Linked DNA regions of Arabidopsis thaliana. The protein of the gene in region 1 purifies or fractionates together with the protein of each later gene. This does not show direct contact. Each region holds a gene or a part of one and is shown on either strand. Other genes may lie near its edges.

The links.
Region 2: the proteins of NSN1 (region 1) and AT1G25260 fractionate together in Arabidopsis thaliana (co-fractionation; one large-scale study listed by BioGRID). This does not show direct contact.

What each region holds. Positions count from the first base shown.
Region 1 is NC_003074.8:2,228,736-2,234,491, forward strand, and holds NSN1 (GTP-binding family protein), read right to left. Parts: upstream 3,627-5,756; 5' UTR 3,545-3,626; coding exon 3,526-3,544; intron 3,403-3,525; coding exon 3,158-3,402; intron 2,934-3,157; coding exon 2,840-2,933; intron 2,758-2,839; coding exon 2,584-2,757; intron 2,486-2,583; coding exon 2,271-2,485; intron 2,177-2,270; coding exon 1,912-2,176; intron 1,800-1,911; coding exon 1,620-1,799; intron 1,519-1,619; coding exon 1,307-1,518; intron 1,212-1,306; coding exon 867-1,211; 3' UTR 620-866; downstream 1-619. Other genes in the region: RPM1 (NB-ARC domain-containing disease resistance protein), read right to left, coding at 1-289; emb1974 (NHL domain-containing protein), read left to right, coding at 4,025-4,085, 4,185-4,305, 4,387-4,499, 4,592-4,739, 4,827-4,965, 5,086-5,179, 5,379-5,519, 5,674-5,756. UniProt on the Arabidopsis thaliana protein: Involved in the differentiation of epidermal cells, probably via the regulation of the expression of meristem-related genes (e.g. CLV3, STM, KNAT1, CUC2 and AG) and of leaf polarity-related genes (e.g. YAB5, FIL, AS2, PHB and PHV).
Region 2 is NC_003070.9:8,852,778-8,857,643, reverse strand, and holds AT1G25260 (Ribosomal protein L10 family protein), read left to right. Parts: upstream 1-1,769; 5' UTR 1,770-1,877; coding exon 1,878-1,905; intron 1,906-2,157; coding exon 2,158-2,323; intron 2,324-2,401; coding exon 2,402-2,492; intron 2,493-2,585; coding exon 2,586-2,644; intron 2,645-2,779; coding exon 2,780-2,840; intron 2,841-2,997; coding exon 2,998-3,088; intron 3,089-3,188; coding exon 3,189-3,265; intron 3,266-3,346; coding exon 3,347-3,481; 3' UTR 3,482-4,110; downstream 4,111-4,866.

The DNA.
Region 1 (5,756 bases):
TGGCGCAGCTACGATAACCGTGGATGTGATAGCCAAACTCGTCGAGAATGTCTTCGATTTGGTAAGCCAAATCTCTCGTGTTTGCCACAAAAGTTTGGAAGAGTTGAGTTGTTGTTGTTGTGGATCCATTTCCACCATGTTTATGAGTATCCTCAAGAAAGGACTTCATGATCAGCAACTCCTTCTTCATTTTATCAATCTCACCATGGACTCCTGACAATAACAAGGTCTCGTTTTCCAGGACACTAAGAATCCGTCCGATCCCAAAATCAACAGTAGCCGAAGCCATCTTCCTCAGAGTCTCGCTTGAACCTTTTTTCCTTCACTGATTTAGTTTCTCTTGGTGAACTTGCTGAATTTGAGCAAAGCCAAGCTTTCGGTTCACACCTTACATGCCTGCCACATAACATTTTGATCAATTATCCTTAAGGACCTCAACAAAGTCAACGTCCTTTACTTGCGTTAAAGTCAACACGGGTTTAAACTGCTTTCACATTTGCAACTTGGAATTCAATTTGACGGATATGGTCGAGTTTGGAAGTTCCAAGAGAGAGACAGAGAAATCTGATGTACTGAACTCGGGTGTTGTTTTCGTCATTCGTTACCTGAAACTGAAAGGGTAAAAGATTATTACTTTCTTCTGAAGGGCGAAGAAGTACACTTACCTCAATGATTTTTGAATGTTCTTAAGATATTTGTTAAGCAAAGCAGAATTGGAATAGAAGAAACGTTAATTAAAGAAATCAAAATCGCTTCAGTATTACTACTAGTTCATGAAGCACATATATCAGAAAGTTTAACCGACCGACTCATAAACGCCAAATACAAAAAAAAAAAAAAAAAAAAACGTTGTGGTTTCCAATCACTCATTCTTCAGGCAAAAGTCCAGCCATTGGGATTTTAGCATCAATCTGGAATTCTTCGTCTTCTCCATCTTTGTTCTTCCTATAATCCACTTTGAAATCATAATCTCCGTCCATCAGATCCTCCTCATCAGCTCCTGCTTTCTTTGCTTTCTTCCTCTTCTTCTTCTCTGCTTTCTGTTTCTTTGTATTCAACATGCTTTCCGCTGCGTATAGCTTCACGTTCTGCCTCCCCGTCTCTGATTTCTCCTTCGTCTTTCCTGCCTCTTCCTCCTCCTCCCCTCCCATTGACTCATCATCATCACTCTCATGCTCAGCCTCCTCTTCCGTCTGCGTCTTAGACTCATCCTGTTTTTTTTTTTTGTGATACATCATCATAAACAAAGATTAAATCCAGACCGAGTCATTTACAAGCAAATGGAATCACGAGAGAAGTTACCAACCTCGATCATAGTTTCATCGAAATTGAGAGGACCATTTGAAGGAATAATAACAGGGTTGAATTCGTTAACCGTCTTCAAGCTCCCAATGAAAGAGGATTCACCACTGTAAACCTCATCGATGTTGAAATCCTTGGCCAGCTCAGTCACAATCTTTGACTCTGCATGTCCACCCTGGTCCCTCTTTGGCGGCATTGTATAGTATGGGATTTTACCTGCATAACCATTCATATTAGAGACAATGATGAGTTAAGAAACTGGTTTTCAAAAATGCTTTTACGCTTCAAGTTTACGAGGAACAAAAAAAGATCCGCACCTTCATTCCAGTCATGCAAAACAATTCTGGCAGCAGCATCAATATCCACAAGACCACCCTTTTTAAGTTTACCCCTTACAGTGGCGACTTTGTAAAGGAAATCATCAACTGCCTCGAAGCTCGGGATTTTGTAGAGAGTCACCAGCATATCTTTAGGACAAAGCTTGAGAATTTCCTTCACTATTTTTTTCACAAAGCAGAAGATTTCCAAGTTAGGTCACTCAGATTATAACCTTTAAAAGACAAAGCACAAAAATAAGTGTGATTCTATCTTGAGCTTATATCCAATTACCTGGACTAACTGGGTCATCCAACTTCTCGATTCTTTTACAATTTCGGAGAGCTATGGAAGCATCATTTCCTGATGATTTCAACATCACAACTCCAGGACAATCCAGCAACTTCACGTTTTTGTCCAAGTGAACCTCTTGCAGAGATCTAGTCAGTCCAGGAGTGGCACCAACATTGACAACATGCGCTCTCTTCAGACTGTTAATAAGACTACTCTTGCCGACATTAGGCAGTCCAATAATACCAACTGTGATAGATTTTTTTAACTGCCAAAGAACAACAAAGGAAGATTTAATTGAAACTGAATGATATAACTTGATGCTAAGGTAGGATGATTAAAGTTTAAACTATGGAACCAACCTCATGACTTCTTGAGTAGTTCTTCAACAATTTGATAAGAGTGTCTGCTCCAAGACAATCACTCGTCTGCAACATATTGCTTGGTTTTGATGCCTTAGATGATTTCCAACCCAAGTTTGATCTCTGTTCCTGGGTGCTACACTTGAAGGCAACAGCTGGAAATTCTTCCCTAAGGTACATAAGCCATTTCTCAGCAGCCTCTCGGGGAACAAGATCTGGAGAGAGTGAATCAGTTACAAAAATTAATTACACCACCCAGAGTAAACAAACAACTTATTACGTCCACGAGTAAAGACTGAATATATGAACTTACCAATCTTGTTCAGCAGCAACACAAGATGCTTATTGGGACCGGCTTGCATCACCATCCTCTCCATGTCAGTACAACGAGTGCCAAGAGGATCACGGGCATCAAGAACCTCCAAAATGACATCAGACAATTCAATGACTTTAACTAGCTCCTTGTAGAAAGCCCTCTCCGAGTTATCTGTGAAACAAAAGACATTAGTGCATGTAAAGGCAGAGAGAAAGCACATAAACGCGTGAAGAAGGTATCCAAAACAACTCACCTCGAACATTGACAACTTTAGGTAAGTCCTCTATGGTCTCTCCTTCTGTCTTGGTATCCTCATCATCAACCAAACCAAGTTTCCTCTTTTTGGCCTGAATAGATTTATTAGGAGAGATCAGAACACAAGCACCACTCCAAAATACGAGTAAATCAAACAGCAAGACATGAAAAATGCAATCTTTTATCAATCAATCAAAACTCAGAACACAAAGGAAATAGCTTTAAGAATTTCGACCTGAACTTAAAGTTATATGATTACTAAATATCTGAACATGTATCATAGCTGTGAGTTACAATGTTAAAAGAATGAGATTACCCTTTCTTTGCGAGCTTCTTTCTTCTGTTCAATCTCCTCAAGAGCACGGGCACGTCGAACTTCAAGGGCTTTAAGCTCTTGTTCCTTGAAAGGCCAGTCATTGGGTATACCTGGGTCTTTCTCTACTCTTGGCTTACGGTGAAGGCCAAGCTTTTTAGCATCCTTTGCCTTCTTCTTGTGGTGCTCCTTCACCTTTTTCAGGACCTTATGCTTCTGCTTCAAGGTCACCCTCTTACTCTTACTCTCTGCAAAAAACCATCAAACCAATCAATAAAACCCCAGTAGGAATCCTGAACTGAATGATATGATTCAAATTCATTCAATAAGACAGATCCAGAATATCAATATGATTGAAGGATGTATCTTACTTTTACTCCGTTTCACCATCTTTCTCGCCCTGGGATGAGAGCGACGCAAACAGAAAAACTGAGTAGGTTAAAAGAAAAGGGTTTATGGAGAAGGAAGATGGACATATCGGCGCCAAATTAGGGTTTTGCTATTAGATGTACTTGGATCATTACCCGACCCGTTATAGTTGACCCGAATCAACTTAAAAATATTGAAAAAATAATTGGGGTGAGAGAGGCTCGAACTCTCGACCTCAGGATTACTCAGATAGCTATGAGACCTACGCGCTAGCCAACTGCGCCACCACCCCGATGTTAGTAATCTTTACTGATTATGTAATTAACTTCAATTGACATTCGTTATCCAAAGTCATAATAACCTTGACTTGGACCAGTCACCTGAAAGTCTTGAGTTTTTTTCCCTTAAGATCCCGCCGGGCTCCGGTGCTGGCGGTTAAACCCTTCCAAAACCTGAAATTCGTTTAGCTTAGGACAAACAAGTGAAGCCCACCATACAGAAATGTCTAACAGAAGCCTCCATTTGAAGAAAATATCATGGCTTTCTTCTCGGATTCTCTCAGGTTTCCGAATTTTGATCGTCTTCTTCGATTCTAGCTTTCTGGGTTCCCACTGTTTAAGCGTTCTTAACGATCTTTTTTGGTTGTCGTTTTGCTCACTAGACAATGTTCACGGTCGATTTCGCCGATCAATCACTACTCCAGCCACTTGTTTAGCTCCTTCACTCGATGGAGACATGAACATTGGATCCAAGACATTGGTCGAACAACGTTTCTCTCGCGGGTAATTCGATTTATAATCTTAATTACTTGGACAGGTGTTTTCATGGTCTCTTTCTAATTCGTCCTGGACAGTCTCTTTCAGATTTGCATCAGTACGACGAGTATCTCGAGCTTCTTCTTCTTCTTCTTCTTCTCCTTCCTCTCCACATGTTGATTTGCTCTCTTTTATTAAAGCTTCACTTGATAAACTTGAAGGTAACTGACTGTATACTGATTCTTACATCTTTTTGTATTGGCTTGAAACATCTCTTTGTGTTGTAAACAACGTTTTGAAAATGAACTCTTAGGTCCTTCCCATCATTGGTTGAATCGAGACTTTGGGAATAAACAGCTTTTCAAGGACAAAGGAACTTATGTAGTTCTAGCTGGACATTTGCTAGACGGAACAAGTGATCTGAGTGGTTTCTTTGAGAAACTAAAGTTGCTTCAGCAGAGGTTTAAGAAAGCTTTTATTTTTGTTAAACCAAAGAATAATGGTAACTTAACGGCAATTACGGCTAAGTATTTGTTTTGACTTTTCAGGTCTCCGGGTGTCTGTTTCATGGGCATCCACTTCAGTGATCAAGCTCGAATCGCTGATGATCGAACTGCTCTAGCTGAGTTGATTTTGAAGGAATACCTCACTTTTCCTGTGCTACTTTCCGAAAAAGAATTTCCCAAGGTATATATTGTTATGTCCAAGAAATGTCGCTGTAGATTACTTCTTTGTATATCATTCCCTCATGTTATGTGCATATACCTCGATTTCAATTGAAGGTGTGCTGTTTTCTACTTGTATCAGACAAGTGGGGAAGTACGTTACATCGTGTTTAAAGATTTTAAGAATCCTCTAATCTACGAAGAGAAGGATCTTGATATTGCTTCTGTAGTTAAAGGTATGCCTACTTTATTATCATATATTCACTACAAATAGTCTCTACAATGTCATACTTATTGTTCCATGTTCAACTTAAGAGAAAACAGAAATTCATTATGCTACTTTTAGCTTGTGAATATTCGTCGCTTCAGCCTTCTATCTCGTGATTTGTGTGCTTAATACATATTCTGGTTTCTTTTTCTTGCGCTTTGCTGCAGCTCTTGACAGCCTCCTCACTCAAGATACTGAGAAATCCAAGTCTGTCAGACTTTTCACGAACACTTGGTCAAAACAAGCAGAGGCTATCAAGGAATCACATTTCCCTTCTTTCTTTCAGGATTTGTTACTTTACTTTCCAGGTATGTCTCTTTAATTTTCTTTCTTTTTTGGTCTTTTTGAAATTTATCAGGAATTTTCATTTTTGTCTTTCACGCTACTCTCTAATATTTTGCTCACAAAAATTTGGAATAAAATTTTGTTTTTTTATTTAACAATTGACATTCTCTGTGACAGGTTGTATCTCTGCAGACGAAGTTGGAGACCGTCTGTTTCTTTCTGATACCAACCATCATCGTATTATTATTTTCGAAAACAGT
Region 2 (4,866 bases), on another chromosome or scaffold:
TCCAATCCTGTTAGCTCATGATCAGCTCTATTTATGTAGCCAAGGTGTTTTCGTCTTTAATTCTACCTCTATACCTTTTTCATTGTGCTCCACTTCAATTGTATTAACTGTCCAATCCTCCTAGCTCATGATATAGGAAGATGTGAGATTCAAATATTTGTTTCTGGAAACTCGTTACTAAAGTAGCAAAGTTTGGAAGGATTAACCTTCTTGTAGACAAAAGAAAAGAAAAACAAAAGAGTTTATGTGTTGAAATGTATATTCATGATCAAAGGGAAAACAGAATACAAAGTGAAGACGTAATGCAAAAATAAGACGAAACTGTTTATTGTCGTTCTATGAAAGGAGCTCCACAAGCTTTCAAGAGCGTTTCACTGCAAAAGAATCTTTTTTTTTTGCAAAAGCATTTGTTATAACATGACAAGAAAACTATTATACATTTACATCGATGCCACACATTCTTATACGAACGGTAATGCGTTTTACTATATGAGCCAAAATGACAATGCAGAAACATGCTCGGTGCTATTAACATTTATTAAAACATAATTGTGAAGTTAAACAAGATATAAATAAAAGTAACATATTAGGTTGACGTTGACACGTGCTAAGCATGCTTTGTGGCTTTTCCGCGATGGCTTTGCCACACACAAGAACTCCAAAAGAAAGAAAAAGGCTCGTATATCATTATTGTCAGTAAGCAACATGCGTACGTAAAGCCAAATACACTTGGTAAAGATCCAAATGTGGAAGTTTTGGGCTTGGATTCTCTTTCCATTCTTCTGCTCTCTTTCATGTGACTTGCATAAAGATGATACGACCAAAAGTGAAAACCAAGTATCAATTCATACATACATATTATAAGAATGAGAAAGAAAAAAAGTTATATTCATACTGACCCAATTAAAATTTCACACACAAAAAAACCTCTAGAGAACGTTATGATACCCCAATTGAATGTCATATATTTTCCATCATTTTCTTTTATGCCATAGATCGAGCCACTATCAATACCACTAGCTATAACAATCTCGAGCGATTTTTGTGTGTTTTTTTAATTCCCCCGACGGAACTAATTCCACTCATCTCTTGATCTTTTCGCCATATAGCACGACATATATATAGCCCACATACAATCAATATTGCTCCTAGTAAAAATAAAAATAAATATATTGCTTCAAGTACACTTCAATTTGAAAACAATAATATAGTGTATGCTTATAAATATTATCAAATCTTAATAAATAAATTGTCTTTTACCTTCCCAAATAAACTTCTCGTCCAAGAACAAAACACAAGCCACGGCGACTACTACGAGCATGAGAAGGGTTGAGGACTTCTACAAATGAGTGGACCCATCCCCTTAGTCTCGAACAAATTGCCAGTAGTGAGATCACTACTCACTACTAATGGTTGTTCCTATTGTTCCCTATACGTTTACATTGTTTAATTTCCGAGCATTCATATAAATAATTTATAATTCATTATTAAGAGGTTTAATAATATGATTTTGAAAGTACCACTTTTTAATTAATTTTTATAACATTAAATTTAAAACTTTAATTTCTTAACTTAAAAACTTTTGCACAACAAAACAAAAAAAACTAAAAACACTATAATCCATTTAAATTTAAACTAGTACACCCTCCAATGACAAAAAAAAATCGGCCCAGATTTCTGATAGCTAAAAGGCCTGAAACGGGCCGGATCCGGATCGGGTTGAATTAGGGGTCCAGATTAAAAAGTGCGAATTAAAGCAAACAAGGGAACAAGGGTTTCAGTTTCCCTGAAGAAAATTGAAAGGAGCTTAATAAACAGAAGCCGTTCTCCTTCACTTTCGTTCCTCTCACTTCCATACAACATTTGAAACCTCAGCTATGCCTAAATCAAAGCGAGATAGACCAGGTTAGAACTCTTCTTCCTTCACTCTTTCTGCTCTCTATTGTCTGAACCATTGTATCTCTGTCACTGGTTTTGGAAGCTGTAACTTTTGTAGCCGCCGTCAAGGGTTTTAGGGTTTTGTTAGGTTTTTAGAGGAACCCTTTTGAAAAAAACTTTAACTTGTTGGAGTTAGTAATGTTTTTTCATAGCTTCTATGGTTGAATCGATTGATGAATGGTTTATCTAAGGGTTTTGTTTTCTGATTTTTTGCTGCAGTGACTTTGTCTAAGACGAAGAAGAAAGGAAGAGAGCATAAGGAGTGTATTGTGAATGGAATTAGGGAGGCTGTTGAAAAATATTCCTCTGTCTATGTTTTCTCTTTTGAAAACATGAGAAATATCAAATTCAAGGAGTTTAGGCAGCAGTTTAGGCACAATGGAAAGTTAGTTTCTTTGTCCTTCTTCTGGTTGATGTTAGAATTACTTGAATGTTATGACTGACTCGGTTCTTATTTGTCTAGGTTCTTCCTAGGTTCGAACAAAGTGATGCAGGTTGCTCTTGGTCGTTCTGCAGAAGATGAACTCCGTTCTGGTATCTACAAAGTCTCCAAGGTTTGTGTATTCTGCTTCTTACAATGGTTCTTTTATGTTAAATGGTCATTTTTTGTCAGTTAGATTTACATATGTTGTGGAATGTTGTTTCAGCTGCTTCGTGGTGATACTGGACTTCTTGTTACTGATATGCCAAAGGAAGAAGTCGAAAGGTATCTATCTATGTATCTCTTGACGTCCTCTTTTTTCCTCTTTTGCTTTGGTGAAACAACAGTGACGGGTTTGAATTGTATACATGTCTAGTTGTTGTAACTGTTCACAATACTTCTTCTGGTTGTGTATTGCAGCTTATTTAACGCTTATGAGGATTCCGACTTTTCAAGGACCGGAAGCATTGCAGTAGAAACGGTTTGTGAACAGAACTTGTGCCATCTCTATATACTGTTGTTTCTAGATAAATAAATAAGCTTGACTATGATCAGGCTCTGCTTCTCTTTGTTATTTAAAAAACTTTGTTTCGTTACTTTTATCTTAATTACTATATTGGTACCACCTAAATGATTAGGTTGAACTGAAGGAAGGTCCTCTAGAACAGTTCACACATGAGATGGAACCACTTCTTCGGAAGCTTGAAATGCCTGTACGACTAAACAAAGGTCTGTCGTCTCACCATCTTAATATTCCTCTTTCTCATACTCACTTTTGCTATCTATATTAATCCAAAAACTTATTTCTTCTTCTTATTTTAATATGTAGGTACTGTGGAGTTGGTCGCTGACTTTGTAGTTTGTGAAGAAGGAAAACAACTTTCGCCAAAATCAGCCCACATTTTGGTAATAAGACTTCTGTATACCAAAACCCTTTCCTTTTAATTTGTATGCTTTATTTCTTATACTTGTTTGTTTACTTTGCAGCGTCTATTGCGAATGAAGATGGCTACTTTCAAGCTGAACTTGCTCTGCAGATGGAGCCCTAGTGACTTTGAGCTTTACAGAGAAGATCTGTCAGAGCTTTACCGAGAAGATCTCTCAGACGTTGAAACCTCTTAGGAAGCCAAGATTTTGACTCCACCCTTTAAATTTTTCTTAATATCATCACTATCACATGGATTTTATATTGTGGCACATGGTTTGCATTCAAATGTTTTAAGTCAAAGTTTTGCTTGCTTTACATGTTTTGTAGAATATCAACTTATCTTCAAGAACCCCCTATCCTAATATTGGCAAATCAATCTTGAAAACCTTGTTTTTCTTATTCAGCCACATTATGGAATTTCTTACTCAATTTGCTTACTTTTTACAGATTTATAGATGGTGTTGGGACCGAATTAATTGGCATGCGTATGATAATTTAAAGCAAGTTTTTCTTCTTGTCTTTAAAATTATTGTGGTCCATGGGCTTGAGAGCAGTCCAACAACGTTCACACGTCGTCCATCTCTTTTGATAATTTCTTGTTTTTTGTTTTTTTGTTTGTTTTTTAGCAATCCGAAACTATTGCGTTTGACTAGGTGAGCTTAGAGTTGTGATGTTAGGGATAGAAGCAGTTTTCTACGAAAGGGGTTGAAGATACTATGAGGCGAATGCGGTTGAACAAAATAGAACCCACCGGAGATTTTGGTAAAAGATTAAACGGAAAGGCGATACTTCCAACTCCGACGTAACAAATGTTTAGTTGTAGATTTTCAACATTTTATGAATTTTGATAACATATTTTTTAATTAAATTTTGGTTAACATATTTTTGTTATAAAAAAAAAATATATACATAAACTACGGGTTCTCTCATTTTAAACAAGTATAAGTATACTATTATGTCTTAATATATTTCCTTAACATTACATATATATATATATATATATATATATAAAATCGAAAATACGATATTCTCTCATTTAAATATACTCAATCAAATATCAACTTTCTGTTTCTTGTTTTCTATCCGCAGATAATGCGGGATAAATTGTTTCCTAATTCATGTATGGGACTTTTATTGGATTTACGGAGTTTGCCTATACAAATTTAGGTAAGTTAGATTGGAAAAACAAGTTCCATATACTTTATCCTTAATTTTTTTGCTTATTTCTTCTTTCCTAATGAACAAAAAGATTTTGTTAAAAAAAAAAATGTAAATCAAGGAGATCACGTATTGAGGTGAGATGAGAAAGAGAGAGTGTGTGGCTTTAAAGAAGGAATAGGATGGAGTAAGAAAAGTGAAAAAGGAGAGAAGGAAGGAAATCATGGAAGTGAGTGAAGAGTCAGGTGAGAGAGACTGAAGCCTGACTCCTAACCACCATTTCAATCTTTTTGGCACTGAAATTCATGTCGTTCCTTTTCCTGTAAAGGAAACGACAACCACTTCTGCTCTTAAATCACCATTTACTCTTCTCTCTCTCTCCTATGCGTTTCCATCATTACATTTGTGTAATATATGTATC